Anolis sagrei: one gene and its partners. The protein of the gene in region 4 interacts with the protein of the main gene of each other region in a pairwise test. Links are inferred from orthologs where the notes say so. Each region holds a gene or a part of one and is shown on either strand. Other genes may lie near its edges. The genes, in order: RBPMS, SQSTM1, UBC and DAZAP2.

What was found.
Region 1: the proteins of DAZAP2 (region 4) and RBPMS interact in binary tests that used the Homo sapiens proteins (3 or more experiments, as listed by UniProt). The two-hybrid records come from large-scale screens. The link is inferred for Anolis sagrei from reciprocal best matches to the Homo sapiens genes DAZAP2 and RBPMS.
Region 2: the proteins of DAZAP2 (region 4) and SQSTM1 interact in binary tests that used the Homo sapiens proteins (3 or more experiments, as listed by UniProt). The link is inferred for Anolis sagrei from reciprocal best matches to the Homo sapiens genes DAZAP2 and SQSTM1.
Region 3: the proteins of DAZAP2 (region 4) and UBC interact in binary tests that used the Homo sapiens proteins (3 or more experiments, as listed by UniProt). The two-hybrid records come from large-scale screens. The link is inferred for Anolis sagrei from reciprocal best matches to the Homo sapiens genes DAZAP2 and UBC.

The regions. Positions count from the first base shown.
Region 1 is NC_090022.1:150,009,294-150,016,750, reverse strand, and holds the start of RBPMS (RNA-binding protein with multiple splicing), read right to left. Parts: upstream 3,021-7,457; 5' UTR 2,617-3,020; coding exon 2,554-2,616; intron 1-2,553.
Region 2 is NC_090022.1:86,649,229-86,656,955, reverse strand, and holds the start of SQSTM1 (sequestosome-1), read left to right. Parts: upstream 1-4,727; 5' UTR 4,728-4,814; coding exon 4,815-5,001; intron 5,002-7,727. UniProt on the Homo sapiens protein: Molecular adapter required for selective macroautophagy (aggrephagy) by acting as a bridge between polyubiquitinated proteins and autophagosomes.
Region 3 is NC_090031.1:29,395,902-29,403,523, forward strand, and holds the start of UBC (polyubiquitin-C), read left to right. Parts: upstream 1-4,602; 5' UTR 4,603-4,726; intron 4,727-7,622.
Region 4 is NC_090022.1:192,268,743-192,276,757, forward strand, and holds the start of DAZAP2 (DAZ-associated protein 2), read left to right. Parts: upstream 1-5,009; 5' UTR 5,010-5,192; coding exon 5,193-5,205; intron 5,206-8,015. UniProt on the Homo sapiens protein: In unstressed cells, promotes SIAH1-mediated polyubiquitination and degradation of the serine/threonine-protein kinase HIPK2, probably by acting as a loading factor that potentiates complex formation between HIPK2 and ubiquitin ligase SIAH1.

The DNA of each region.
Region 1 (7,457 bases), about 42 Mb from region 4:
CCATTACTGCAGCTGGCACTTATTTGATTCCTAATGTTTACAGCTTGGCCGTGTTTACAGCAATTTACTGCCATGGTTAGAGGACCGCAGTTTGACTGAGTCTGAGTTGATGTTTTTATATGTGCATGTGTTTTATTTTACTGTGTTTTATATTGTGCTCACACTTTTATGTTTTGTTTTTAGGCACTTTGTGCTTCCTGTACCATCTCCCCAAAGTCCCTTTGGGGAGATGGTAGCGGGATATAAGAATAAAGTTGTTCTGGTTGTTATTTTTGGTGATAAAGCTTCAGTGGAGACAACTTTTCCCCATGACAAGAGTGGATATCCCTTCGTATGGATAGATTTCTCCACTTCCTGTTGTCTCAACCCCAATTGTAACTATGAGTCGTATATAAGTCGGATGTTTCTAACTTGGAGATTGTATATCCTGTAATTCTAAGGCACATCCCATTTTTAGATCTGTTTATATAGGGGGGAAAGTGCTTTTTAGTATTGAAGAAATACAGCGTTACACTCTTACCCAAAGGGACGAGAATGAATAAATCTTACATATCAGGGTCCCATCCCCCCCCCCCCCCCCCCAAAATACAGGCAAGACAAATCTGGAGCATCAGGAAATGTTTTTCTCCCTGTTGTTCCATAAAAGTGCTATTTGTGCCAGTAAGATAGCACAGTTTGGCACCAACTCTTAACTGATTTGTTATCCTGCTGCTTTCACTATACTCCAAAATGAGTCCCAAAACTCAGCATAGCCCAGGCATGGGCAAATTTGGGCCCTCCTTTTTTTCCCCCAGCCACTTAAGTTGAGGGGGAAAGGAGGGCCCAAATCTGCCCATGCCCAGGCTATGCTGAGTTTTGGGCTCAAGCAGCTGAGAGGGAAAAGGAAAGGGCCTGAGGCTGTTAGAAATAGTGGGAATCGTAGTCCAAACCCCCTGGAGGGCCCAAGAGTGCCCATGCCTGGCATAGCTATCTTTCTTGATCCCTCCAATGTGGTCCTATAGGAAAAGGTGACTTCACTCCCAAACTACCTTCCGCATCAGATCCTACTGGCTCACTCTAAACCACCATATAATCCTGTTTCTGAATTGAGATTATCTGCTTTGAACTGAATTATATATACGAGTTAATACTGCCATATAATCCACTCCAAAGTAGATAATCTGGATTCAGAAACTGGGTTATATGGAAGTAGAGGTGGTCCAAGGCCCCTACTATACAGCTGAATAAAATCCCACATTATCAGCTTTGAATTGGGTTATATGTCAGTGTGGACTCAGGGCCCTTCCACACAGCCCTATACCCCAGAATATCAAGGCAGAAAATCCCACAATATCTGAGTGCAGACTGAGATAATGCAGTTCAAAGTAGATATCGTAGAGTTTTCTGCCTTGATATTCTGGGTTACAGGGCTGTGTGGAAGGGCCCTCAGATAACCCAGTTCCAAAGTAGATTTTGTGGGATGTTCTGCCTTGATATGGCTGTGTGGAAGAGCCCTCTGATAACCCAGTTCCAAAGTAGATTTTGTGGGGTTTTCTGCCTTGATATTCTGGGTTATATGGCTGTGTGGAAGGGCCCTCTGATAACCCAGCTGAAAGCAGATCTTGTGGGATTTTCTGCCTTGATATTCTGGGTTACATGGCTGTGTGGAAGGGTCCTGAGTGTTGAACTTCCATCGGTTTCCACAGGCTCAGCAAATACAAATTCACAAACTATTCAACTCACAACCCTCTAAGGATGCCTGCCATGGATGTGGGCGAAACGTCAGGAGAGAATGCTTCTGGAACATGGCCATACAGGCCGGAAAACTCACAGCAACCCAACTATTCGACTGCTATGAAGCCATCAAAGCACAGAAATATATACAGGGTGACGGGGGGGGGGGGATATCCCAGAATATCAAGGCAGAAAATCCCACATTATCTGAGTGTGGACTCAGATAACCCAGTTCAAAGCAGCTACTGTGGCATTTCCTGCCTTGATATTCTGGGATACATATAGGGCTGTGTGGAAGGGCGCCGGACGACGCGACAAAAAGTTTCACAAACTCCCCTTCGCCATGAAAAAGACGAAGCAGATCAAGCGGTGTCAATACGCATTCATGCTACAGTGTAGAGGCGCACCCTTTTCAAAGCCTGTGCTTTGGATTCCCACCCTTTTCCCCTGGATCTAAATCGGATTCTAATAGGGAAAGAATGTGCTGGATGCGTTATCGATTACCGGGCGTCCTTCTTGTTGTTGTTTCCCTACAAGGAAGGCGATGGCAGGGAGGGAGGGAAACAAAAGTTTCCCGAAAGTTAAGGCTGGAAGGGAAGAAGGAAGGAAGGGAAGGAAAGAGCCAGGCGCCTCTGTTGTTGTTTCCCTCCCTCCCTGCCATCGCCTTCCTTGTAGGGAAACAACAACAGAGGCGCCTGGCTCTTTCCTTCCCTTCCTTCCTTCTTCCCTTCCAGCCTTAACTTTCGGGAGCGGCGTTGCGCAATCGCTCTCCTCCCGAGCTGCGCGAGCCACAGAGACGCCCCCGAAAGCGCCCTCCAACTTTCCCCACAGGAAGGGTACCTCTTCCTCGGTCAGGCTGGGCTCCGGCGGAGTGGGCTCCTGCTCGCCTTTCGCGCTGTTCATGGTCTCCTCCTCTCCCTCTCCTCCTTCTCCTGGGCTGGGGCACTCGCCCTGGCCGCCCGCAGCTCTTCCAGCCGCATACAGGGGCTGCTCCGGGGAGGAAGCGGGGCGGCGAAGGCAGCGAGATAAGACCTCCGTCTCCCTCTGAGGCGAAGAAGGAATGAGCTGAGGGGAAGAAGAGAGGAGAGAGGAGGGCGCGCGCAGCCCCCCACCCCACCCTGTCTCCGCGCGCGCCCGGCTCTGATTGGCGGAGAGGCGGCGCCCTCGACGGCGCGAGAAAGGAGGGCAGGGAAGCGCGAGACCCCCCGCCGCGGCACGTGAGGGGAGGAGGCGGCGCCAAAGCTCAACCGTCGAGGCTTCCACTGCCTTGGCCTGCTGGCTACCCTCTCTTGCCCCTGCCAAGCTTGACAGGCGTCTGCACGTCTACACAATAAAGCAGCACGATCTCCAGAAGACGCTTCCTTCTTGGGAGGAGAGCAATGTCCAGTCTCCATAAAATAGTAAAGAGTAGAGACATCAGACTGGCAACAAAGATCCGCCTAGTCAAAGCCATGGTATTCCCTGTAGTAACCTACGGATGTGAGAGCTGGACCTTAGGGAAGGCTGAGCGAAGGAAGATCGATGCTTTTGAGCTGTGGTGCTGGAGGAAAGTGCTGAGAGTGCCTTGGACTGTGAGAAGATCCAACCAGTCCATACTTCAAGAAATAAAGCCTGACTGCTCACTGGAGGGAAGGATACTAGAGACAAAGCTGAAGTACTTTGGCCACATCATGAGGAAACAGCAAAGCCTAGAGAAGGGAATGATGCTGGGGAAAGTGGAAGGCAAAAGGAAGAGAGGCCGACCAAGGGCAAGGTGGATGGATGGCATCCTTGAAGTGACTGGACTGACCTTGAAGGAGCTGGGGGTGGTGATGGCGGACAGGGAGCTCTGGCGTGGGCTGGTCCATGAGGTCACGAAGAGTCGGAGACGACTGAACGAATGAACAACAACATCTCCATTCCCATTCATTCATGCCATGTGCGGTGGCGCAGTGGGTTAAACCCCTGTGCCGGCAGGACTGAAGACAGACAGTTCGCAGGTTCAAATCCGGGGAGAGGCGGATGAGCTCCCTCTATCAGCTCCAGCTCCTCATACGGGGACATGAGAGAAGACTCCCACAAGGATGATAAAAACATCAAATCATCCAGGCGTCCCCTGGGCAACGTCCTTGCAGATGGCCAATTCTCTCACACCAGAAGCAACTTGCAGTTTCTCAACCTGCTCCTGACACGACAAAAAGAAAAAAATGCCATGTGCGGGCTTGACGAATGCAAGGCTGGGGTTAAAACTGCTGGAAGAAACATTAACAACCTTAGATATGCAGATGATACCTCTTTCATGGCTGAAAGCGAGGAGGAGCTGAGGAGCCTTCTAATCAAGGTGAAAGAAGAAAGCGCAAAAGCTGGGTTGCAGCTAAACGTAAAAAAACCAAGATTATGGCAACAAGAATGATTGACAACTGGGAAATAACTGAAGACCTGGTTGTTTGAGCAGGCATTTGAATAGGCAGTGTAACGAACATAGGAATATGGAACAAATGAATGATGAGACTGGATCTTGATTTTTATTATGAGATGCTAATGAGATGTTTTATTTATTTATATTGACTGTTTATTATGCTACTGTTTTTAATTGTTTTTAACTGATTTATGATGGTTAGTAGGGAGAGAGGGGAAAGCTTTCATACCTAGTGAGGGCTCCAGGGGTCCTGGGGCCATCCCTTTGCACAGCTCTGGCAAAGGCAGGACATCCTTCCTTCATGGCGGTCACTGTAGGATCCTGTTTTCTCTTCCTGGGGCCTCTCCTGTGATGGCCTTCCCCAGCCTCAAGGGGGGGCTGTCTCTTCTGGGTGGCTGGAGGTCTGGTCCTGCCCTTCTGGGATCCTCCTGTGCCATCTGAGTTCCAGCTGCCACATGAGAAAACCCGCAGAGCTCCCGCAGACTCACCACCCAGGTAGCTGTCCACAGTGGCAGGAGTGGATTATGGATCCTGGATCCAGTCTGATCTGATGTCCCTTGTCAGGTGGTCTTCTGGTTCATTTCAGCTGTGCCGGGAGGTCCCCTGGACCCTACAGTGCCCTTCTCATATTTAAAGGCAGTTAGAGGGGCCATTAAAAGATTCACACACATGCATTTGGGGAGGGGAGGGAGATGGACCAGGAAAGAAGAAAAGGGTTGTTGAGGGACTGTGCAGAGTGAAAGAGAGAGAGAGAGAGAGAGCCTTAGCTATAGGGGCAAGACAGGATTTTGACTGTCTATGTTATAAGGAGCAATGGGGATGCTGGGGGCCCCCTTGGCAGGGGGAAGAGAGGGGAAGAGAAAGTTGAGGCACTTTTAGCCTAGGAAAACATGAAGCGGAGGGAAAAGATATGAACGCATGGAAATGTTTTGTGGAACATGATTTTCAGAGAGGGAGAAAGGATAATCCAGGGGGCGTAAATCATTCCCAGACACCCCAAGAGGTGTGTTTGGCGGAGGAAAAACAGAAAATCTAGGATGAAATTGTCCCTGAATTAAAGCCTTCACTTGGGTGGTGGGCAGTGTGGTGTTTGTGGAGGACATTGGCAGGGCTCTTTGGACATGTTTATGGCAATCGCTATAACCTGCAATGTCAGTGAGGGAGGGTCTTTGGTGTTCGCTTCATAGGTGGGGGTTATAGCTGTTGATGGAGGCGGGAGCCTGTCTGTGAAAGTGGGCACCCCAGCCTCATACATACAGATTTTCACTTTTATTATGTGTATTGATAATGATTGATAGATAGATATAGATATATATTGATATATATTGATATGAGACTATGGTCTTTACAACTCAATTATATGCGATACATGGACCGTCCAAGCTTGTAGCCAAGGGGGCAGTTTAGGGATTCAACACCCTCCCTGAAATTTGTCAGATCAAAAATAAAACAAAACACTGGTTTGCTCATGAATTTTTACTGGTTAACTAAATCCCCATGCCAAGCCTATGAGAAGCAACAATTAGAGTTCCTCCAGAGCTACAAGCACTCTCTCAACCAAATTTAGATGATTCACACTATCATTGCCTGCCTTTCTACCAATTTACATTGCAATAGCAGTAATAGCTGACATAGTGGAAGCTGCCAAAATGTGGTAGCCAGCAGGCAAAGCCTAAGGCACGGGACAGGGAGGAGGATTTGACCTGGATTGCAGGTAAAAACTGTGGAAACTGAAGAGTACCATCAGAAAAACTTGTGCTTGGCTGAAAATGTCTTGCTAATTCACGGTAAAATATCTTGACGTAAACCGTCATCACGACAAAGGAAATAAGAAGAAAGCAGAAAAAAAAAACAGAAAAAAACTTCTGCCAATTTTGGAAACTATTGTCCTTTGTGACCGACAAGAGGGAGAAAGATTCAGGACCTATTACCTGTGAAGTCCCCAGTGGTGCAGTGAGTTAAACCCTTGTGCTGGCAGGACTGAAGATCAACAGGTCGCAGGTTCAAATCTGGGGAGAGCACTCATGAGCTCCCTCCGTCAGCTCCAGCTCCCCATGCGGGGTCATGACAGAAGCCTCCCACAAGGATGATAAAAACATCAGAACATCCAGGCGTCTCCTGGGCAATGTCCTTACAGACGGCCAATTCTCTCACACCAGAAGCAACTTGCAGTTTCTCAGGTCGCTCCTGACACGAAAAAGAAGAAGAAGAAAACCATGAAGAACCTTTGCATAATGATGGTAATTTCAGAGCCTTTTTAAAATCTACCAGATCAGTTGATACTGATCTGAAAAGTCATGTGGGCAGGGTGGGAGGGGGGAGTTTCAACTCCTCCCGAAAGCTATCTGCAAACATCACTCTTGACTTCTAGAATATTGCCTCAGCTTTGCCTCCAAAAAATCCTGCAAATCTCTTGGGAAGATGGATGTACAAACATCAGTATTCTGGAAGAAGCAAAGACCACCAGCATTGAAGCCATGATCCTTCGCCATCAAATTTGCTGGACCGACCACATTGTCTGAATCCCCGATCACCGTCTCTCAAGGCTGCTACTTTACTCTTAGTTTCAGAACGTAAACGGAATGTCAGGTAGATAGCAAAAGAGATTTGAAGATGGGCTTAAAGATGACCTTTAAAATTTGGTATAAACACTGAATCTGGGAAGCTTTGGCTCTTGAACGTCTAACTGGAGGTCAGCTGTAACTAACAGTGCTGTGGAATTTGAAGGGGCACGAATGGAGGGCGAAAGGAAGAAACGTGTCAAAAGGAAGGCATGTCAAGCCAACCCCTGTTGGGACTGCCTTCTATCTGGAAATGTATGTCCTCAATTTGAAAGACCATGCGAAACCAGTCACTTCCTTCCCAGTCTAAACTTTTGGGAAATTCAAGTGAGTTTATTGCAGAGGAGAAGCTATATATGGAGAGAGATCCCTAAAACCATTCCTGGGGTGCATCTGGCAGAATTCATGCACTTTAACACCACTCTAACTACCAGTGTACAATTGTATGGAATCTTGGGAACTGTAGTTCTACAAGGAGCTTTAGCCTTCTATGCTGGAGAGTACTGCTGCCTCACAAACTACACTTTCCAGGATTCAATAGCATTGAGCCATGAAAACTTAAAGTGGTATCAAACTGCATTAATTCTACAGTGTAGATTCAGCGCTAGTCTCATATCTTTTTCCCATGACAAGATTTCCTCTTTCATTACTGTTTTGCCACCCCCAGTTCTATTTAAACGTTTAAGCTTGGTAACCTTATCTTAATAGTTTTCAGGAGGAAAGAAATATCACACCATTAAGACCTACCCAGATTGTAACCCTAGCACCTGGTTGAACTTACTGAG
Region 2 (7,727 bases), about 110 Mb from region 4:
GAAAAAAAAAAACCCTTTCTTCTTATGCCACCTGAGGGCAAATCAAGAAAGGAGGGCAAATCAAAAATGGTGAACTTGGAAGTCCCTGAATGGACTTAGAAGTGGAGTGGGCAGATCAAAAGACAACCTGGCAAAATGGAACTACCTAAAAGATTCTTCCACCTTGTGCGACTGTGGAGCAGACCAAACAATTCTGCATTTATATGCTTGTCCACAATGCCCTGCCTCACGCACAGAGGAAGAATTGTTTAAAGCTACAGACAATACGGTCGTTACTGCCCAGTTTTGATCAAAAATTATGTAGTCACTTGTGCTCCTTCTATTTTTATCAGTTTTAAACTTATGTATGCAATGCTTTTGGTGTTAAATAAATAAATACTGGAATTCTAAGAGCTCGCATGGTATTGTGATTTCAATGTTGGAAGACTAAAGACCTCGTAAAACTGCAAAACCCAGGATTCCAAACTGGCTCAGCACTGCATAGAATGACTATAGACTGCACATCACCCAAAGTGCCAGTAATGTCCCTGTATTGCTAAGGAATAAAAGAAAAGAAGAAGGCCATCAGCATGAAATAGAAACCTGGCCTCCTCATTATCAGCTTTCAGTTTCCCCAAGGGTTCAGGCAGCATCTTTTGTGAGCTACATCTCTTTCAAACCATCTTGAGATGCAGGCCAACTGTATCTGAGCAACGCACAGTCTGCAAAATGTCATAGCTAATGTCAGTAATGTTTTCACTGCCATCTGGTTCGGTTTTAGAAGAGCATGTCCAGAAGAACACACAGATTAGATTCAGCTAACAAAGACTTACAATACATGAAAACAAAAGGAATCTCCATTAAGGCAACATATAAATGTCTCTTCCTACAATATGTTGTTGTTTTATTTTTGCAAACAGGTCTAAAAAAACCCCCTTAGTATCAACATCAAATGTCAGCTGCTAGAGGGGGTCCAAAAGACAAATCATTCCCAGGTGTGCCCGATCTTATTTCTAAAAATATAATACTGCCATTTGGAACAGTAAGCAAATGTGCATTAATCCACTCATTTGCAACTCCTGCTCTATGGCTCGCTAAAGATGATGGCTTGCTCTATTTGTTCCTGTTACATCTACGCATGTTTTCTTAGAAGCAGAACTCACTGAACTGAAAGAATGGTTGTGTAATCATTTATAATTACTTAATATCTTTGAATTGAATATTTATTTTCAGCCTATTTCAATTTCAGAGTAGAATGCAATGTAAAATTATCAGCACCTCTTACCAAAACTTTGAAAGAATGAATACATTGGGGATCATATAGTATAGTGCTTCTCAACCTGTGGGTTCCCGGGTGTTTTGGCCTAAAACTCCCAGAAATCCCAGCCAATTTACCAGCTATTGGGATTTCTGGGAGTTGAAGGCCAAAAACATCTGGGGACCCACAGGTTGAGAATCACTGATATGTACATATACTGTACAATGTACATATAGAAGATCAGTGATCTGAATTTTTCCACCTTTGTACATAGGTTGGCCTGTGTGAGCTTCTATTGATGATATGAGGACATCCAACAGAATCACCTATTCATCATTTTAATTTAATACCTTCCTAACAATCTTTCCTCCCATTAAATTCCTTTATTTATGTAGTTGTTAACTGGGTGTGTGTATACACACACACAAATACATATATCGAATATATGTGTATAAATATCATATGTATATACACAGAAATGAACCTGGTTGCTTCTAACAAAGCGTACTTCCTTATCAGGGGGCATGGACTGTAACTTCATACAGGCAGCCCCCAAGTTACAGACAGGATACGTTCTGTAGGTTTGTTCTTAAGTTGAATTTCTATGGAACAGCTAAATGGTGTTTGTTTTGCTGTCTGTGCCCCTGTTCTGAGTTTACCACACTTTCTGTCACTGTGATAATTGGCTTTCAAAACCTCCGGTATGCTGTGGAAACAAGGATTGGTGAGAAAGCTTCTGTGGATACCAATTTTCCCCCTGATAACTCTTTCGGGAGTGAATTTCCTTCCTGACGGGCAGATTCCTCTCACTTCCTATTGTCTCACCTCCATTCTTAACTATGAGTTGTTTGAAATTTAGATGTTTGTGACTTGGGGGCTGCCTGCAACGGTCATCCTGAGCCACCATAATGAAGTGATTTGAGGGTTGGAGTATGACTCTGGGCTCCTTCTCAACTGGGTTCGTTCCCCTTTGGCAGGCTTCAGCAGATAATATAACAAACAGCAAACTTATCGTTTTGGAGTTCAGAAACCTCTGGAAAGAGAATGGACAAAGTTCATGTGTTCGAAAGGGAACTCTATCCAGGTAACAGGACAGCAGGTAACTAATGATCTTCTATGAGCCAGTGTGTGTAATGGTTTTGAAATTTGACTAGGAGTCCCCAGTGGGGCAATGGGTTGAATCCTTATGCCAGCAGAACTGCGGACCAAAAGGTTGGCGGTTTGAATCTGGGCAGTGGAGTGAGCTCCCATCTGTTAGCTCCAGCTTTCCATGCAGGGACATGAAAGAAGCCTCCCACATTTGGGCTGGGGAGCAGAGTGAGCTCCTGCCTGTCAGATCCAGCTTCCAATGTGGTGACATAAGAGCCCTTCCACAGGATGGTAACACATCCGGGTATTCCCTGGGCAACGTTCTTGCAGATGGCCAATTCTCTCACACCATAAGCAACTTGAAGTTTCTCAAGTTGCCCCTGAGATGGAAAAAAATATCATTGGACTGATTCTGGAAACAAGGGTTTGTATCCATACTCAGACATGTAAATAATATTACTTCTGGGAAACATCAGTGGGGCAGCAGGTTAAACTGCTGAGCTGCTAAACTTGCTGATTGAAAGGTTGGTGGTTCGAATCCAGGGAGCTGGGCCCAGTTTCTGCCAACCTAGCAGTTCGAAAACATGCAAATGTGAGTAGATCAATAGATAAGGGAAGTTAATGGCACTCCATGCAGTCATGCTGGCCACAGACCTTGGAGGCGTCTAGGGATAATACTGGCTCTTCTACTTAGAAATGGAGATGAGCTGTAACCTCCAGAAGCAGACATGATTCAACTTAATGTCAAGGGAAAGCTTTACCTTTACCTTATGTGTATATACAGTAGTCTATACATCCCATGTAGACTACTGCAATGCTCTCTACGTGGGGTTGCCTTTGAAGATGGTCTGGAAGCTTCAACTAGCCCAACAAACAGCAGCCAGGTTGCTAACAGGAAAGGCGCTCAGGAAGCATGCAACCCTCTTGTTGCGCCAGCTCCACTAGCTGCCGGTTTGCTACCAGGCCCAACTCAAAGTGCTGGCTTTGGCCTATAAAGCCCTAAACGGTTCTGGCTCAACTTACCTGTCCGAACGTGTCTCCCCTTACGAATCATTGGGGACTCTAAGATCGTCTGGGGACTCTAAGATTGCTCTCGGTCCCGCCTTCGTCTATAGTACATTTGGCGGGGATGAGAGACAGGGCCTTCTCAGTGGTGGCCCCTTGGCTATGGAACACCCTCCCTATGGAGATTAGATCTGCTTCCTCCCTCTTAACGTTTCAGAGGCAAGTTAAAACATGGCTGTTCGAGCAAGAGTTTACAAATGCAGAGTAGCTAATATAGGAAAGATTTGACAATGGAACTGGACAATGCTTGATAATAATGAGACGCTAATGATTTTTATTGCTTTTGTGGTTATTTATATTGTTTAATGTTTTTATCTGTATTATGTTTTTATATGTACTGATTTGTTGGAAACCTCCTTGAGTCGCCGATTGGCTGAGAAGGGTGGTATACAAATACAATACATAAATAAATAAATAAATAAATATGGTGTATACAAAACATAAACGAATCCTGGTCTCAAAACATCCTGGTCTCCATCTGGTTCCTATGTAAACACTTGCACAGTGAAACTGTTTTCATCAATACTGGTTTGAAACAGCACTAAATGGTCAGTGTTGATGTGTCCTGATGCAGTTTGGGGCCAGTTTTGCCCACCTGGGTGTGATTCAGGAGGGGCTGGTGAGTCCTGGGACCCTTCTGCCCTTCTGGGCCCGACACCTGAAGGGAAAGGTGGGGCCAGGCAGGGCAGCCAGGTGCCTTTTGAGGCCTACCTACCTTTTCACTGGAAGCAAGGCGCAGTGAGTCAGCAATTGGACAAAAAGAGGCGGCGCCTGCCTCGGGAGGCTCCAGGGAGGCGGCAGGGCAAAGTTCGCCCTTGTTTCCCCCGCAGGGCTTGGAGAACTAGAAGGTGCTGAGTAACGCTGACAAGGGGGCTTTCAACCCCCTTTCCCAAGCCCAGGCCACGCGTTTCTATGTTTCCACCTCCTTCCTTGTTGTTGATACATTGTCATTCTTCATTTTCGGCATGGGCCAACTTGGGCCTTCCTCCAGGTGTTTTGGACTTCAACTCCCACAATTCCTAACAGCCGGTAGGCTGTTAGGAATTGTGGGAGTTGAAGTCCAAAACACCTGGAGGAAGGCCCAAGCTGGCCCATGCCTGGTGTAGAAGGGGCTCTGCCTCCTCCCTCCCTTTTGCAAACAAAAACAAACCAAACTCTCTTTCTGGAAACTGCCAGGCTCTTCAGTGGCGTGATGTCTCTCCACTTGGCCTTGCGTCACCCTCCCTCCCTCCCTCTCTCTCTCCCTCCTTCCCTGCCTGTTCCTTGGCCCGTCCTCCCCAGGCAGGGGCTTTCCCAGCCTCCGCCCGCCCCTCCGCTGCCCGCCTATAAGAGGAGCCGCGGGGCGGGCGGCAAGGCGCAGAGGCAGTCCCCGCTGGAGCCCAGGGCAGAGAGAAAGCCGGTCCGGAGGAATTCCTGCTGCGCCATGGCCCCGCTGACGGTGAAGGCCTACCTGTTAGGCAAGGAAGAGGTGACCCGCGAGATCCGCCGCTTCGCCCTCGACAGGCCGCCCCGCTTCCAGCCCATCCGCGACAAGGTGGCCGAGCTCTTCCAAGGCCTGCTCCGAAATGCCAGCCCCGGACCCGCCGGCGCCTTCCAGATGTACTACAAGGGTGAGTCAAGGAATGTGGGAGCCCCCAGGGGACATCCAGCCCCGACCCGCCACAATCGAAACATTCCCGACAGATGGCCACCCGGCCTCAGATTAGAAGGCCCCCAGGGAAGGAGGTGCTCTCCCTGGCATCCCATTGTCAAGGGATGCTCAACCGGCCCCATCCTGGCACCATCAAAACACTCCCGACAGATGGCCATCCAGCCTCTGAATAGAAGGCCCCCAGGGAAGGAGGTGCTCTCCCTGGCATCCTGTTGTCAAGGGATGCTCAACCGGCCCCATCCTGGCACCATCAAAACACTCCCGACAGATGGCCATCCAGCCTCTGAATAGAAGGCCCCCTCTGAATAGAAGGGAAGGAGGTGCTCTCCCTGGCATCCTGTTGTCAAGGGATGCTCAACCGGCCCCATCCTGGCACCATCAAAACACTCCCGACAGATGGCCATCCAGCCTCTGAATAGAAGGCCCCCAGGGAAGGAGGTGCTCTCCCTGGCATCCTGTTGTCAAGGGATGCTCAACTAGCCTTACTAAATACAACAAGGGGCTGCCAACCCTAGAATCGAGCCATAGAAGGGACCTCTAATCTGACCCCATCCCGCCACAATTGAAGCACTTCCGACAGATGGCCATGCAGCCTCTGAATAGAAGGCCCCCAGGGAAGGAAGTGCTCTCCCTGGCATCCCATTGTCAAGGGATGTTCGACCGGCCCCATCCCGGCACAATCAAAACATTCCTGACAGATGGCCATCCAGCCTCAGATTAGAAGGCCCCCAGGGAAGGAGATGCTCTCCCTGGGATCTCATTGTCAAGGGATGCTCATCCGGCCCCATCCTGACACAATGGAAACATTCCCGACAGATGGCCATCTAGCCTCTGATTAGAAGGTGCTCTCCCTGGCATCCTGTTGTCAAGGGATGCTCAACTGGCCCCACTAAATACAGCAAGGGACTGCCAACCCTAGAATTGAGCCATAGAAGGGACCCCTAATCCCACACAAAGAAGTTGGCAACCCCATCCCACCACAATCAAAGCACTCCTGACAGATGGCCATCATGCCTCTGATTAGAAGGCTCCCAAGGAAGGAGATGATCTGGCATCCCATTGTTATGGGATTCACAACCAGTCCCACTAAATAAATATAGCAAGGGACTGCCAACCCTAGAATCGAGCCATAGAGATGGAAGGGATCCCAATGGCCACCCAGTCCATTCAGTAACACCCAACCAAAGCACTCCCAACAGATGGCCACTTAGGCCCCTTCTGCACTGTCCTTATATCCCAGGATCCGATCCCAGGTTGTCTGCTTGGAGTCTACACTGCCATATAATCTGGGATGTATAAAAGGATATAAAATCTCCAGGGAAAGGGATGCCTTCCCTGGCAGCGCACTCCATTGTTAAACAGCTCATACCATTAGGAAGCTATTCCTAATTTTTAAGTGGGATCTTTTCCCTGCAATTTGAATCCATTGCTCTGTGTACTAATCCCCCCCCCCCACCTTGCTGTGACATTCTTTCCAAGGTCTAAGCCACTCCATGTTCCCTCTCAGCCTTCTTTTCTCCAAGGTAAACATTGCTCCACCTCACCAGCTGGGCTTTTGCTTTGTGAAGTGGCAGATCAAGGTCCAGGAAGAAGGCGGCGGCAGCTAGAAATTATTGCTTTTCCTGCCAGATATGGTTTTGGGAGGGGGTGGGTTGAATGTCCAGAAGCACTGTGTAACTCGTGGCTAAGGGCCCTTCCAGACTGACCCTATATTCCAGGATCTGATTTCAGGTTTTCTGTTTATCCCAGATTATCTGGCAGTGTGGACTCCTATAATCCAGTTTAAAGCAGAAAACCTGGGATCGGATCCTGGGATACAGGGCCTGTCTGAAAGGACCCTACTTGGCCCCTAAGTACCCTAGATTTTGTCTGACCTTGGAAGCTAAGCAGGTTCAGGACTGGTTAGTTCTTGGATGGGGGGCTGCCAACCAATACATGCTGTAGATTATATTCCAGAGGAATTGGCCAAACTAGATTACTCTTCATGTAAGAAAGCCAGTGTAGTGTAGTACTCTGAGTATTGGACTAGGACTCTGGAGAATAGTCTCTCTCTGAACAAACCGTGCCAAGAAAACCCCATGATAGATTTGCTTTAGGGCCGCCACCTGCGACTTGGAGGCTCACCACAACAAGAAGAAATCCCAGAGATACTCACGGGATCACCATAAGTCAATGTGCTACAGGCACGCAGCAAGCAGTGGCAACTCATCTGGTATTAGGCTTTAGTGACAAGGTTATATGGTGGGAAGCATTCTCTTACTGAGTGTTTGTGTCGAGAAGCAGTTAAAAATCCAGTGCCTTTGCACACAAAGAAGTTGGCAACCCCAGCTGGATATTCTGTACTAATGTGGAACAGGTGTCACAGCCTAGTTTAATACTAATTTAAAACAGTGGTCAGTCTCTTGAACTAAAGGCCCAGATCTGCTTGGAAATGGCAGTCTGCCACCTAAAAGCTTGCCAGTGGAGACTGGCTCTAGCAGTTGGTTTAGAAAGGTCTTCTGCTCATGTTCAGAGGTAATACTTGCACAGGTTACAACTTACAGGGTTATGAAGTGGCATTAAAAACAATTACGGGCCATGGCCTGTTCCGCTTCCTAACAATGTGTGCATAACCCACATCGTGCCTCTCCTTGTAAATGCGATCCTGCAGCGAATAACAGAAATGTGTGGGGTGGACCTAGTTGC
Region 3 (7,622 bases), on a different chromosome or scaffold from region 4:
ACAATAGTCTGAGAATTGAACTATATTATTATTATTATTATTATTAAACTAAGAATAGTCTGAGCATTGAACTATATTATATTAGTATGATTATTATTAAACTAAGTAGAGAATAGTCTGAACAGTGGACTATATTATTCTTCTTCTTCTTACTATTCCTATTATAAAATTAAGATGACAATAGTCTGAGAATTGGACTATATTATTATTATGATTAGACTAAGAAGACAATAGTCTGGGCATTGGACTATATTATTATTATTATTATTAAGCTAAGGAGACTATAGTCTGAACATTGAACTATATTATTATTATTATTATTATTATTATTATTATATAACTAAGAAGCAAATAGCCTGAACATTGGACTATATTATTATTATTATTATTATTATTATTATTAAGCTAAGAAGATAATAGTCTGAGCATTGGACTCTATTATTATTATTATTATTAATTATTATTATATAAATAGACAATAGTCTGAGCATTGGACTCTATTATTATTATTATTATTAATTATTATTATATAAATAGACAATAGTCTGAGCATTGGACTATATTATTATTATTATTATTATTATTAATTATTATTATATAAATAGACAATAGTCTGAGCATTGGACTATATTATTATTATTATTATTATTATATAACTAAGAAGAAAATAGCCTGAACATTGGACTATATTATTATTATTATTATATTATTATTATTATTATTATTATTATTATTAAGCTAAGAAGATAATAGTCTGAGCATTGGACTATATTATTATTATTATATAAATAGACAATAGTCTGAGTATTGGACTATATTATTATCATCATTATACAAGTAGACAATAAATCTGAGAATTGGACTATATTATTATTAGGTCTCCCAAAGGGACAAAAGGGCAATGTATATACTACTGCTACTGCTACTACTACTACTAATAATAATAATAATAATAATAATAATAATTTTATTTCTTTCCCACCTCACTTCGTGGCTCGAGGCGAGTGACAACATAGCTAAAAACATCGTTATATAAATCGTTATATAAAGTGCACAGATATACATATATTAAAACATACAGAACAATTATTAAAATAGAGCAGACACAAGGCACGGGTTTAAAATTCATTATTAGAACTTTTGAATACAAATTTACCCTTTTTTTTTACAATGTTACAGAAGGCCAAGGGCTCCAGAAGGGAAATGGAGGGCAACATTGTAACCCAAAAGGAAATGGAGACAAAGGCAACATATGGCTTCTTTGTCTTCCTACAAAAAGTGAAACAAAGGGAAGGTGAAATCTTAACACAACCAATCTTCAGTTCTTGTGGGTTTTTTCGGGCTATATGGCCATGTTCTAGAGGCATTTCTCCTGACGTTTCGCCTGCATCTATGGCAAGCATCCTCAGAGGTCTTGCCATAGATGCAGGCGAAACGTCAGGAGAAATGCCTCTAGAACATGGCCATATAGCCCGAAAAAACCCACAAGAACTGAGTGATTCCGGCCATGAAAGCCTTCGACAATACACAACCAATCTTCTTTGGAAGCATTAAGACTATTCTATCCTTGTCCCTGACTGTAAGCAGAGTCCCCATCTGCCCTTCTGGGAAACTGAAATTCACCAACGCCATCAAAGCCAGTCATGCGATCGCAGGTTTTCTGCCAACGTTGCAATAATAACGTCAGCTGCTGTTTGCTTTTCCATTTGTTGCCCACAATCTGCAAGAGGAAAGAGAATACGTTGAATGCTCCAGAGCTAATAACTGAATGTTCTGGAATTTTCCCATTTAAACAGACAGGGATACGCTCTCAACCCACTGTGGAATATATAGTTTAATAAACAACAACAACAGCAATAATAATAATAATAATAATAGTAAAGTAACATTAGTAAAGTGATGTTTTTTTTGGATGCATGCAATGGCTCTAAAGCTACATTTCTCAAAGTGAATATACCACTTTCTTCTTTTAGTGGAGAGTCATAGATAATAATAATAATAATAATAATAATAATAATAATAATAATAATAATAATAATTTAGGAAGTGTCTGATGTGTGATCCAAGCATAGTGATCATGTTTGCTGTGTACTAATCTTGTTGTGTTTCTAATAATAACAACTGCTGCCCAGACTATTGTCTATTTAGTAATATAACAATATTAATATTAATATAGTTCCATGCTCTGAATATTGTCTACTTATACATTAATATTAATATAATTAAATGCTCAGAATATTGTCTACTTAGTTGTATAATAATAATAATAATGATAAATTGCTTAGAATACTGTTTATTTAGTTATATAATAATAATATAGGTCAATGCTCAGAATATTTTCTACTTAATTATATAATAATATATAATAATACTAAATAATTATATTATTATTATAATAATACTAATAATAATGTCCAATGCTCATACTATTGTTTATTTCTCTAACATTATATATACGGGTTAATATGTGGCCTATTTGGGAGGCCTTTTGTAACATTATAAATAAGGGTTAATACGTGGCCTTTTTGCCCCTTTGGGAGTCCTAGACCTTCTGCAGCCATCTATTATTATTATTATTATTATTATTATAGTAAATAAGTATTATTATTATTACTATTATTTCTCTCATGAATTTATTACTGGATTTATTTCATTATTATTATTGTTATTATTATTATCTTTTATTATTTATATTATATTATTATAGTAAGTAAGTATGATTATTATTTCCCTCCTGAATTTTATTATTATTATTATTTCCCTCCTGGATTTATTACTGGATTTATTTCATTATTATTATTATTATTATCATCATCATCTATTATTATTATTTATATTATATTATTATAGTAAGTAAATATTATTGTGGCGCAGTGGGTTAAAGCACTGAGCTGCTGAGCTTGTTGATCGAAAGGTCGCAGGTTCGATTCCGGGGAGCGGCGTGAGCTTCCGCTGTCAGCCCTAGCTTCTGCCAACCTAGCAGTTCGAAAACATGCAAATGTGAGTAGATAAATAGGTACCGCTCCAGCGGGAAGGTAAGGGCGCTCCATGCAGTCATGCCGGCCACATGACGTTGGAAGTGTCTATGGACAACGCTGGCTCTTCGGCTTAGAAATGGAGATAAGCACCACACCCCAGAGTCAGACATGACTGGACTTAATGTCAGGGGACTACCTTTACCTTTTTAAAAGTATTATTATTATTATTATTATTATTATTTCCCTCCTGAATTCATTATTATTATTACTACTATTATTTCCCTCCTGAATTTATTACTGGATTTATTTCATTATTATTATCTATTATTATTATTTATATTATATTATTATAGTAAGTATTATTATTATTTCCCTCCTGAATTCATTATTATTATTTCCATCCTGAATTTATGACTGGATTTATATTATTATTATTATTATTATTATTATTATTATTATTATAGTATTATTATTATTTCCCTCCTAAATTCATTATTATTATTATTATTATTATTATTATTATTTCCCTCCTGAATTTATTACTGGATTTATTTCATTATTGTTATTATTATTATCTATTATTATTTATACTATATTATTATAGTATTATTATTATTTCCCTCCTGAATTTATTATTATTATTACTGGATTTATTTCATTATTATTATTGTTATTATTATTATTATTATTATTAATATTATATTATTATAGTAAGTATTATTATTATTATTATTATTATTTCCCTCCTGAGTTTATTACTGGATTCATTTCATTATTATTGTTATTATTATTATCTATTATTATTATTTATATTATATTATTATATATTATATATTATTATTATTTCCCTCCTGAATTTATGACTGGATTTATTTCATTATCATTATTATTATTATCTATTATTATTTATATTATATTATATTATTATAGTAAGTATTATTATTATTTCCCTCCTGAATTTATTATTATTATTATTACTATTATTTCCCTCCTGAATTTATGACTGGATTTATTCAAAATCCTGAGGGAACTGTTTTTCCCGCCAAAATTTCCCCCCTGAAATTGTTTTCCCCCCTCACCCCACTCTTTCTTCCTCTTTCTGCGCATGTGCAGAACCATCCCTATTTCTCCCTCCTAATCTGTTCTGCCTTAGCAACAGGGTGACGTCAAAGCGGACCAATCAGCGGGCGGATTCCACCCTCCCCCTCCTCCCTCACCCCTCCCTTTCGTCCGCTCGTATTCCATCTTGCTCCTTCCAGAGCTTTCCAGTCCTTGAGCCTTTCACGCTCCAGCCAATCAGAGCGCACATAGTTCCTTTCCCGACCAATCGTGAACCGAGCAGCTCCGTAAGTCCCGCCTCTTCTTTCTCTCTCGCTTTGGTCGAATGAAGCATTCGTTTCAAGTATCCTTCCGCGCTTTGTTTCAATATTCCCCTTTTTAAAAACACAACGAGTCATAAGGAACCGTCAACGATCCTTGTAATGTCTAAGGGGAAATAAACACTCCTGTGGAGATATAATAGCGCGTTTCAGCGTTTCGAATTGAGGGACTCTTTTGTTCCCTTCTGGCGGAAGGTTATCGGCGTGACGTAAAAAGGGGCGTGGCTTAGACTATAAATACGCGGGCGCCGTTGGCGGGTGACATTAGACGGGCGGGCTTCGGAGGTGCATTGACTCATTTGTGTGAGGAACGAGAACACGATCGAGTTCGGCCTACAATTTTTGGAGGGGGAGACGCTTCAAGGAGTGGTAAGGAATCCGAATGAGGGAAGGGGAGGATTTGACTCAAATTGACTATGCAAATTTATGCAAATTTCGATATTGGAGTAAGGCCTCCATGGCGACGGCGGGCGCTTATTGTGCTGTTCGCCCTCAAGGAAAAGCGTCATGGCGGCCCATTATGGCGGCGGAGAGGCCTTTGGTGACGAGGCCGGCCTGGCCTTGCCTTTCCCGCGGGGATGGGGCGGCCTTGGCACGGAGCGGGGCGAGCGGGACGGTGAGGCCGCCACAGCTTAGGCCTTGGCCCGCCTCTCGAAGTAATCATGGCCGCCGGGAAGGAGGAGGCTCTGGACGTCGCTTGAGGCGCCAGAGAAGGACAAGATGGCGGCCAGGGGGGAGGGGGAGGAGGGAAGGGGCGGGGCTTCACGTGTGACGTCACAGGCCTACCCATTCGAGGCTTTCCAGGCAGCCCCCTAGCGGCCATTTCTAATAGACTCTCGGGGCATTTGATTGACAAGCCCTGGGCAAACTTAGGCCTTCCCTCTGGACTTCAACTCCCAGCATTCCTAACAGCTCCAGGCCCCTTCCCTTCCCCCCTCATTTACTTAAACTGAAGTCCAAAAACATCTGAAGGGCCCAAGTTTACCCGTAAGTGGCTGAGGGGGGAAAAGGAAGAGGCCTGAGGCTGTTAAGAATGCTGGGAGTTGAAATCCAAAACACCTAGAGGACCCAAGTTTGCCCATGCCTGCCCTAAACAGGCCCTCAAATTCCTTCACTTAGTAAATGAAGGAATTTGAGGGCCTGTTTAGGGCAGGCACGATTTTGGACTTCAACTCCCAGCATTCCTAACAGCCTTAGTTAAACTGAAGTCCAAAAACATCTGAAGGACCCAAGTTTGCTCGTAAGTGGCTGAGGGGGAAAAGGAAGAGGCCTGAGGCTGTTAGGAATGCTGGGAGTTGAAGTCGAAAATATGCCTGCCCTTGCTATAGAGCAGTGGTTCTCAACCTGTGGGCCCCCAGGTGTTTTTGGCTTTGAACTCCCAGAAATCCTAACAGCTGGTAAACTGGCTGGGATTTCTGGGAGTTGTAGGCCAAAAACACCTCGTGATCCAGGGTTGAGAACCACTGCTATAGAGGTTGATGCCACTGTAACTGCCATGGAGTTGAAGTCCAAAACACTAGAGGACCCAAGTTTGCCCGTGCCTGCCCTAAACAGGTCCTCAAATTCCTTCACTTACTATAGAGCAGGTTCTTAGCCTGTGGGTCCCCAGGTGTTTTTGGCCTTCAACTCCCAGAAATCCTAACAGCTGGTAAACTGGCTGGGATTTCTTGGCCAAAACACCTGGGGACCCACAGGTTGAGAACCAATCAACAATGTACATCGTAATAATAATAATATAGTCCAATGCTCAGAATACTGTGTATTTAGATGTAATCATAATACAGTCCAATGCTCGGAATATTGTCTACTTAGTTATATCATAATAATAACGATATAGTTCAATGCTCAGTACATTGTCTACTTAGTTATATTATAATTATATAGTCCAATGCTCAGAATATTTTCTACTTAGTTATATAATAATACAATGCTCCATGCAGTCATGCTGGCCACATGACCTTGGAGGTGTCTACGGACAATGCTGGCTCTTCGGGTTAGAAACAGTGATGAGCACCAACCCTCATAGTCGGATAGGACTGGATTTAATGTCGGGAAAACCAATCAACAACAACCTATATAGTAATAATATAGTTCAATGCTCAGATTATTGTCTACTTAGTTATACAAATTCCTTCACTTACTGTAGTCTCTCTCCCCCCAAATGGTGTGTGTGTGTATATATATATATATCCCTCCAACCTTATTTAAGCTCCTGCACTTTAGTTTGGCCCTCATTCCTGTAACCTCGACACTAATGGCATTGCACTTTCCCTCTGCTCTACTTAGGAACCATTGCACTGACTTTGAGCCCACCCACTTCCAAACCCAGCATTGATTTTTGTTCAGCCATGATATTGCTTTTATGATATTGCTCTGTGATTGTGATATGTTTTTATTTGATTGCTGTTTGTTGATTTTATTTTAATGTGCCTGTTTTAATCTATAATTTTTGTCCCTTTGTAAGGTGCCCCGAGTCCCCTTGGGGAGATAGAGACAGGGTATAAAAATAATGTTATTATTTCTATATTCTATACAGATTTTAACAGCTTAACTGTTTGTTGTGTTGTTTATGAGGCCTCACTTGAGTTGTATGTTACATCTTTTAGCCAAGGTTGTTCAACTGTTTTTTTTCTCAAATGTTTGCTTGAATTGTTTTGATTTGTTAATAGGGGGCGTAGCATTAAATGTTTGCCATCTTTTGTTTTTTGCTGCCCTGAGTATTTGGGGGGAGAGGGCAGATTAAAAATAAAGATTATTATTTATTACGAAACTTCCATATCGCCTTTCTCGGTTTATGACAACAGCCTAGTCAAGTTGACTTTATTTCTGTTTATATTGAAACATTTATATTCCGCCCTTCTCACCCTGCAGGTGACTCTGTGTAGAGCACAACATATATATAGCAAATATTCAATGCTAGGACATAAAACTATTTTTATACCCTGCCTGAGGAGGACTTGGGATGGCTTACATGGGGACCAAGCCTGGGCAACACAGTTAAAATGTAACACATTAAAATACAAAACAATATAACAAAATAAAACAACATTAAGTAATGTATAAAAGGCATTGGAACCAACAATCAGTAAACAATTCTATTTATCATTAGAGAAGGTACCATTTCTAAACAGTTTTAAGTGTTGCCTGTCTCTGAGCCGAGTGGAGAGGAGTGTTTTGCTACTTGATCTTGGGAGTCTATCTGGCTTGTATGGAAAGTGTCTCAAGTATCCAGGTTAAAACCAGCACCTTAAATTGGGTCCAGAAA
Region 4 (8,015 bases):
AAATCTGGCTGCAACAAGAGGAAAAAAAAGGCAGCCAGGGGCAGCAGCGATCACCACTCCCTCTTTCCGCTATGATAACATCCAAGAGGGTAGGCTTTAAAATAACTAACATAACCTAAAGCCGATGCCAAAATAACTAACAAAGCATTAGTTCAATGCTAATGAGCAGAGCTCTTTGACTGGTGTAAGTTTAACAGCCTCAAGGCTTAATTAAACTTAAAATATATTTGCAGGGTCTCTGTTCTTTCCATTGATCTCTTATGCATGAATTTGGACGCTCGCTTGTTTCTTTTCCAAAGCACAGCTCCTCAGCAGAGAAATGTAATGCCTGAGAGGCTAATGATAGTTCCCCAACTCATTTTTATCTCCCAAGAGAACTGTTGTTCGTCTCGGTGAAACCAAAATTAAATGGCCATTTCCTTAATGTTGTCAGAGAAGGGGATTGGCTCCATTACATGGACCAGCGGGTATTAAGCAGTATATGGAAATGTAGTCCTAGAGTGCATTTAGACTGTAGTCTGATAGCACTCAAACTGCTATGACTCAATGGTATGAAATCCTAGGAGTTGTAATTTAGTGAGACACCAGTATTATTTGGCAGGCAGGACTAAAAATCCTTTAAAACTGCTACACCTATAGCACTGAGTCATAGCAGTAAAAGTGAGGTAAACTGCATTCATTCTACAATGTAGATGCTGCCTTTAAAAGAACTTTTGGCCCATGGCCACATTTAGCTGATGGATAACTACTGGTTGATATTCTACAGACCAACATGGAGTTGGATCTGGGAAATCAACCCCATATCAGACATGTAGCTCTTGGGCAGATCACCTCTGCTTCATAGGGTTGCTAGAAGGATGAAACACAGCACAGAGATCTAAGAATTCAATATCAAGAATTTGAAAAAGTCAGTTTGATAACCCTTACCAGATGCTTCATAGGTGGCACAAGGAGAGTCAATATATAATCAAACACTCGTTTCATTTAAAGCCTTGAATTAGGAATAGTGGTTCCTTAGCACCCTATGCAGCTTATCCTTTCAGATTTTTGTGTCTGTCCAATTCTCCAATATTTCAACTTCAGAATGTGGAGTTGTGATTGCTCTATAGTACTGTGTCTTAAATTATCAGTTTCAACCCCAAATGGCTCAACACAAAAATATAACAAGAGAAAAAGGTTTCTGAACACCACCCGTTTACATAAATCTCTTCGCAACAATATGCAGTGTTTACAGTTGACTCTGCAGAAAATGCTTCTGCTGTATCCATAAAAAGGAAAATCAGCCTGTTTAGCAAGCCTTACAAATGCTGATTTGCTATCAGTAAATGTTCGATATTTATATCTGTTATGTTTTATCTACCTATATACCCACAGTCACACAAAAAGTGGTCACAAGTTATAATGAGAGTTGTAGTTTAATGAGGCACCTGCATTCTTTGGCAGATCAGTCCAAACATCATATAAAACCATGACTCCCACAATTCCACAGCATTGGGATATGGCAGTTAATGTGGTATTGAACTACCTTAATTCTAAAGTTTAGATGCACCCTAGGATAAATATGTAGGATCACACCAAAAGAAAAATTTTGAAAAACACATTTTGTAAACCACATTTTACAGTTGCCATTTCCGTTGTATGCTTTGCATTTTAGACTGCATCATTTGGGTTGTATGCGTGTTTGTTCCTACTCCTATTTACATAAAATACATAAATATGTAAAACTACAAACCTATGCAAAATAGGTGTTGACTCCACTGTTATTACTGCATCAAAGTGAGCCCAGACAGCACACCTGGCTGGAAACACTTTCCTAGAAGAAAAACAGCCAAAATGAAACATTCCTTTCATCAAACCAACAAAACGAAAGGTAATAGCATCACACTGTTCAATAGAAGAGTAAGTAAAAGAGATAAAAAAGAAAAAGAAAAAAAAAGGGGGGGGGGGGAATCAAAGCATTACAGTATTGGCATTATTTGTTTTTACCAACAGTTTAAATATTTCTTTCTCAAATCAAAATTTCTGTCTTGACTTTTCTTAAGACTATAAGAATAGGAATCATAGATTAAAACATAGTGTGTGTGGGGGGGGGGGGGGGGGGGAGTTGTACTGTACAATGTGAAGTCCTCATGACATATTGTCATTCTGTTGGGAGAACCATCCAAGATAGATCCACCCTCTGATGCCAAAGGTGCATCTACACTGTAAAAATTGATGCAGTTTGACACTACTTCAACTGCCATGTCTCAGTGCTGAATATCAAGCAAAAAGTGGGTGCTAGAAATAATATCATACGAAAGCTGACTGGCACAACCTGGGGATCACCACCAGACACAGTGGTAGAAGAAGATAAACACGCACTGGCAGATAAACTATGCTGCTGAGTACGCATGCCCAGTGTGGAACACATCTCACCATGCAAAAACAGTGGATGTGGCTCTTAATGAGACATGCCACATTATCACAGGATATCTACACCCCACACCACTGGATAAATTATACTGTTTAGCCAGTATTGCACCACTTGACATCCGCCGAGAAGTAGCAGCCAATAATGAAAGGACCAAGGCAGTGACATATTCGACCCATGCTCTGTTTGGATATCACACAGCACACCAATGCTTTAAATCAAGAAATGTTTTCTAAGATCTACAGAGATACTCACAGGAACACCTCAGCAAGTGAGAGTCCAAAAGTGGCAGGCTAAAACCTGAAACCTCAACTCATTGCTGATACCAAATGGGAGACTCCCCCCCCCCCCCCGGGCACACAGAAAAATGGGTGACTTGGAAAGCACTGAACAGACTGCGCTCTGGCACCACGAGATGCAGAGCCAACCTTAAGAAATGGGGCCACACAGTGGAGCCCATGACATGCAAGTGTGGAGAAGAGCAAACCACAGACCACTGATCACAATGCAGCCTGAGCCCTGCCACATGCTCAATAGAGGACCTCCTTATAGCAACACCAGAGGCATTCCAGAGGCATTCCAAGTGGCCAGCTCCTGGTCAAAGGACATTTAATATTTGCCAAGTTTTAAAACTTTGTGTGTGTGTTTTTTAAAATACATTACAGTTGTACCCTTGGTTTGCTTCTGATATGATAAATAAATAGTGCTATTGAATCTTGGGAGTTGTAGTTTTACAATGTCATTGGCACTCTCTGCCAAAGAATGCCGGTGTAATGGTAAAAAAATGCAAGGATAACACCGAGTCTTCTAAAGTGGAAAAAAAACCACAGGATTTTATTTATAGCTTAAAAGAAAACAGCAGCAAACAGTGCTAAAAACAATGCGATATAGGATTTAACACTTTAAAAAGACATTTTACAACCCATTCCAAAGCGTATTTACTCGAGGCCAATGGATTTTGCAGTGGGTCTTATGATGTAATTTGATGAAGCACACTCTTCAGCAGAGAAGGCTGCAAGTGTTATAGAAGTGGGTTGTTGTAGGTTTTTTCGGGCTATAGGGCCATGTTCTAGAGGCATTTTTCCCTGACATTTCGCCTGCATCTATGGCAAGCATCCTCAGAGGTAGTGAGGTCTATTGGAACTAGGAAAGTGGGTTTATATATCTGTGGAAAGACCCGGTGGGGCAAAGAACTCTTGTCTGTTGGAGCTAGGTGTGAATGTTTCAACTGACCATCTTGATTAGCATTTGATGGCCTGGCAGTGGCTGGGGAAATCTTTTGTTGAGAGGTGATTAGGTGTGCCTGATTGTTTCCCATCTGTCATAGAAGTCTCCAAAATAGCAGAGTATTTAACAATGCAAAACGGGATACTTAACTGAGCAGTTAGCTCACAGCAATCAGAAGGTGCAGTGTTGTGGCTGTAAAAGAATTCTTGAGCTATGGAGGCAAAGATGCAAAGTTCAGTCCCTAAACTTGGGCCCTCCTGGTGTTTTGGACTTCAACTCCTACAATTCCTAAAAGCCTCAGGACCTCCCCCCCCCCCCCCCTTATCTGCTTAATTTGAGGCTGTTTGGAATTGTGGGAGTTTAAGTCCAAAATACCAGGAGGGCCCAAGTTTGCCCAGGCCTGGCCTAGCCTAATGCTATCTAGTTGCTTCTCATTGCCGATCCATCTCAGAGCCCAATTCAAAGTGCTGGTCTTGACCTATAAAGCTCTATACGGTTCTGGCCCAGTTTACTTGTCCGAACGCATCCACCCCTACGTCCCACCTCGTAATCCGAACGCATCCACCCCTATGTCCCACCTCGTGATCTAAGATCATCCGGGGAGGCCCTGCTCTCGCTCCCGTCACCAGTGCAAATGCGTCTGGCAGGGATGAGAGACAGGGCCTTCTCGGCTGTGGCCCCCCACCTATGGAACACACTCCCAAATGAGGTAAGATCCGCTCCCTCCCTCCTGGCTTTTAGAAAAAAAAATTAAAATCATGGTTTTGGGACCAGGCCTTCGGGCAGCAGAAGTAAATGTATGCAGCATTTCAGGAAGACAATGACTGGAATGGCGATTTGACGAACAAGACTGTTTATTGTTTTAATGATTGTTTTATTGCTTATGGATGTATGGTTTTAATTTGATTTATGTTTTGTAGTGTATAATTGTAATTGTTTGTACTGGCATTGAATTTTGCCATTACTTATGTGTAAATCGCTTTGAGTCCCCCTCGGGGTGAGAAAGGCGGTATACAAATACTGTAAACAAACAAACAAACAAATAAATAAATTGAGGACTGCAGACTTGAGCAGTGTGTGGTTGAATTCAAACAGAAAGACCTTGTAAAATTATAACTCCCACGCTCCCATGGTAGTTCAAAGTGGCACCAAGGTGCATTCATTCTGCAAGGTTGGGACGTCGGCCAAGCCATGGCAATTGGGAATGAGGGCTTGCACAAGAGTGGCGGCCTCCCACCCAAGCGAGAGCCAGCGCCGACCCTGCTTAGCTTTCGAGGCGCCTGTGCGTCCCTCAGCGCCGGAGGCCACGCCCCCTACCTGACCACGCCCCCTGACCCTGCCGGCCACTCTCGGCGTCCCATTCCCCTCAGCGGCGTCGCGGCGTGACGTCAGACGTCTCGACGTAACCCCTCTCCTCAGGGCTGCAGCGACAACAACAAGGAAGTGATTGAGCGAGGAGAGCCGTCCCTGCCGCCGCCGCCGAAAGCAGGAGTTGCCGGAACCGTCGCCGTGCCAGCCCGCCTTTTCCCTCCGCGCCTTTCTCGACGCCGCCACCATGAACAGCAAAGGTAAGCCAGGCAGGCCCCTTGCCCTTCCAACCCCACCCAGTCCCCGCTCACCTTTCGCAAGGGCGCTGTCCCTTTAAGGCTGGCGCCGCAGTCCCGTTATCTGCGGGCCTTGGACGTAACGGGCGGGAGCCCTGGCCAATGAGAGGCCTCGGGAAGCCGGGGTGAGGGGGTGGGGGGAAGGGCGGGTGTTCGGTTGCTATGACGCAACGCCTCTGCTCAGGACAGTTAACCCTTCCAGTGTGAGGGCCTTCCTGGCCTCGCTTCCTGGGGATCCCGAGGCACCGTCACGACTCAGGGGGTTGACTGAAGGCAGAGCGGATGCCTGCCCTCATTCTACAATTCAAGTCCGCCTGAAAGCTTTGGATGTGGATGAAGGGAGGAGGACTGAGGTTGGGGCCTTGAAAAGGGAAGAGGAGGATCCCGAAACTGCCTCTGTTCCCACCAAATGTAGATGGAGCTCAGTAGGGGCTTGTATTTCAGAGGAAGGAACGGGCAAAATCACCTCTTTAGTATCCCTTGCCTCAGGAAACACTATGACATAAACAGGGATTGCCATAAGACAGTGGTTTTCAACCTGGGGTCCCCAGATGTTTTTGGCCTACAACTCCCAGAAATCCTAACAGCTGGTAAACTAGCTGGGATTTCTGGGAGTTGTGGGCCAAAAACATCTGGGGACCCCAGGTTGAAAACCACTGCCATAAGACAACAGGCAAGGCGCTTGAAGGCACACAAACGCATAGGAAATAAAGCAAAACATAATAGCCTGCAAGGCCTCAGCCATAGGAAAAATGGAGAATGGGGGTTATGATCACAAAACTATCCTGTCCAGACTTATATCAGAAAATCCCAAATCTGTAATGATTTAGGCCAGTGGTTCTCAACCTGTGGGTCCCCAGATGCTTTGGCCTTCAGGTCCCAGAAATTGCAACAGCTGGTAAACTGGCTGGGATTTCCCCAAGTGTTGTGGCCTACAACTCTCAGAAACCCCAGCCAGTTTACCAGCTGTTAGGATTTCTGGGAGCTGAAGGCGAAAACACCTGGGGACCCACAGGTTGAGAACTCTTGATTTAGGCTCCTTCTACACTGCCGTCTGTTATCCAGATTATCTGCTTTGGACTGGATTATATGGCAGTGTAGACTCATATAGTCCAGTTCAAGGCAGATAATATGTATTCTCTGATTTAAGAATCTGGATTATATGGCAGTGTAGAAGGACCCTTACTCTACCAAGCAATCCCCTATCCCAGCGTTTCTCAACCTGGGGGTCGGGACCCTGGGGGGGGTTGTCAGAGGGGTCACCGAAGACCATCAGAAAACACAGTATTTTCTGTTGATCATGGGGGTTCTGTGTGGGAAGTTTGGCCCATTTCTATCGTCTGTGGGGTTCAGAATGCTTTTTGATTGTAGGTGAACAATAAATCCCAGCAAGCACAACTCCTAAATGTCAAGGTCTATTTTCCCTAAATCCACCAGTGTTCACATTTGGGCATATTGAGTATTCATGCCAAGTTTGGTCCAGATCCATTATTGTTTGAGTCAATAGTGCTATCTGGATGTTGGTGAACTACAACTCAAGGTCCATGCCCACCAAACCCTTCCAGTATTTTCTGTTGGTCATGGGAGTTCTGTGTACCAAGTTTGGTTCAATTCAATCATTGGTGGAGTTCAGAATGCTCTTTGATTGTAGCTCAACTAAAATTCCCAGAAACTACAACTCCCAAATGACAAAATCAGTCCCTGCCCCTCAAGCCCACCATTATTCAAATTTGGGTGTATCGGGTATTTGTGCCAAATTTGGTGCAGTGAATGTAGATATATCCTGCATATTAGATGTTTATGTGACGATTCATAACAGTAGCAAAATGACAGTTATGAAGTAGCAACGAAAATAATTTTATGGTTGGGGGTCACCACCACATGAGGAACTGTATTAAGGGGTCGTGGCATTAGGAAGGTTGAGAACCACCTACCTATTGTAATTTTGACTCATAGTTAAGAAACATATGAAGCAACAGGAAGTGAGAGAAATTTACCCCCAGGAAGGGAAATTCACTACAGGGGGAAAAGGTGTCCCCACTAAAGTTTTATCGCTGATCCTTGTTTCCACCACAACCCTATATTTTCAAAATCCAATTGACAGGGGTAGAAAATTAGGTGAAATCTTCCAAACAAGGGCACAGACAGCAAAACAAATCTTTCAGGAGTGTTAACCTTTATGCAAACCAAAACATATATATGCATGTATTTCTTTAAGTGGCTGGAGTTACAGTTTAAAAATGCACCTGTTCCTACTTAAAGACTAATTCAACTTACAAACTTACAGAACCTATATTGTCTGCAACTTGGGGACTGCCTGAATGTGATTCTAACCTATATGACATCACAAATCCAAAGAGATGGAACCTATGTGATAATGGGTGTTGTAGACTATATCCTGCCACTGAATGCCTAAACCAGGGGTCCTCAAACTTTTTAAACAGAGGGCCAGGTCACAGTCCCTCAAACTGTTGGAGGGACGGATTATAATTTGAAAAAAAATATGAATAAATTCCTATGCACACTGCACATATCTTATTTGTAGTGCAAAAACCACTTAAAAATACAATAATTAAAATGAAGAACAGTTTTAACACATATAAATTTATTAGTATTTCAATGGGAAGTGAGGCCCTGCTTTTGGCTGATGTGATAGGGATGTTGTTGTGTGCTTTCAAGTTGTTACAGACTTAGGTTGACCCTGAGTGAGGGCCAGGTAAATGACCTTGGAGGGCCGCATCTGGCCACCGGGCCTTAGTTTGAGGTTCCCTGGC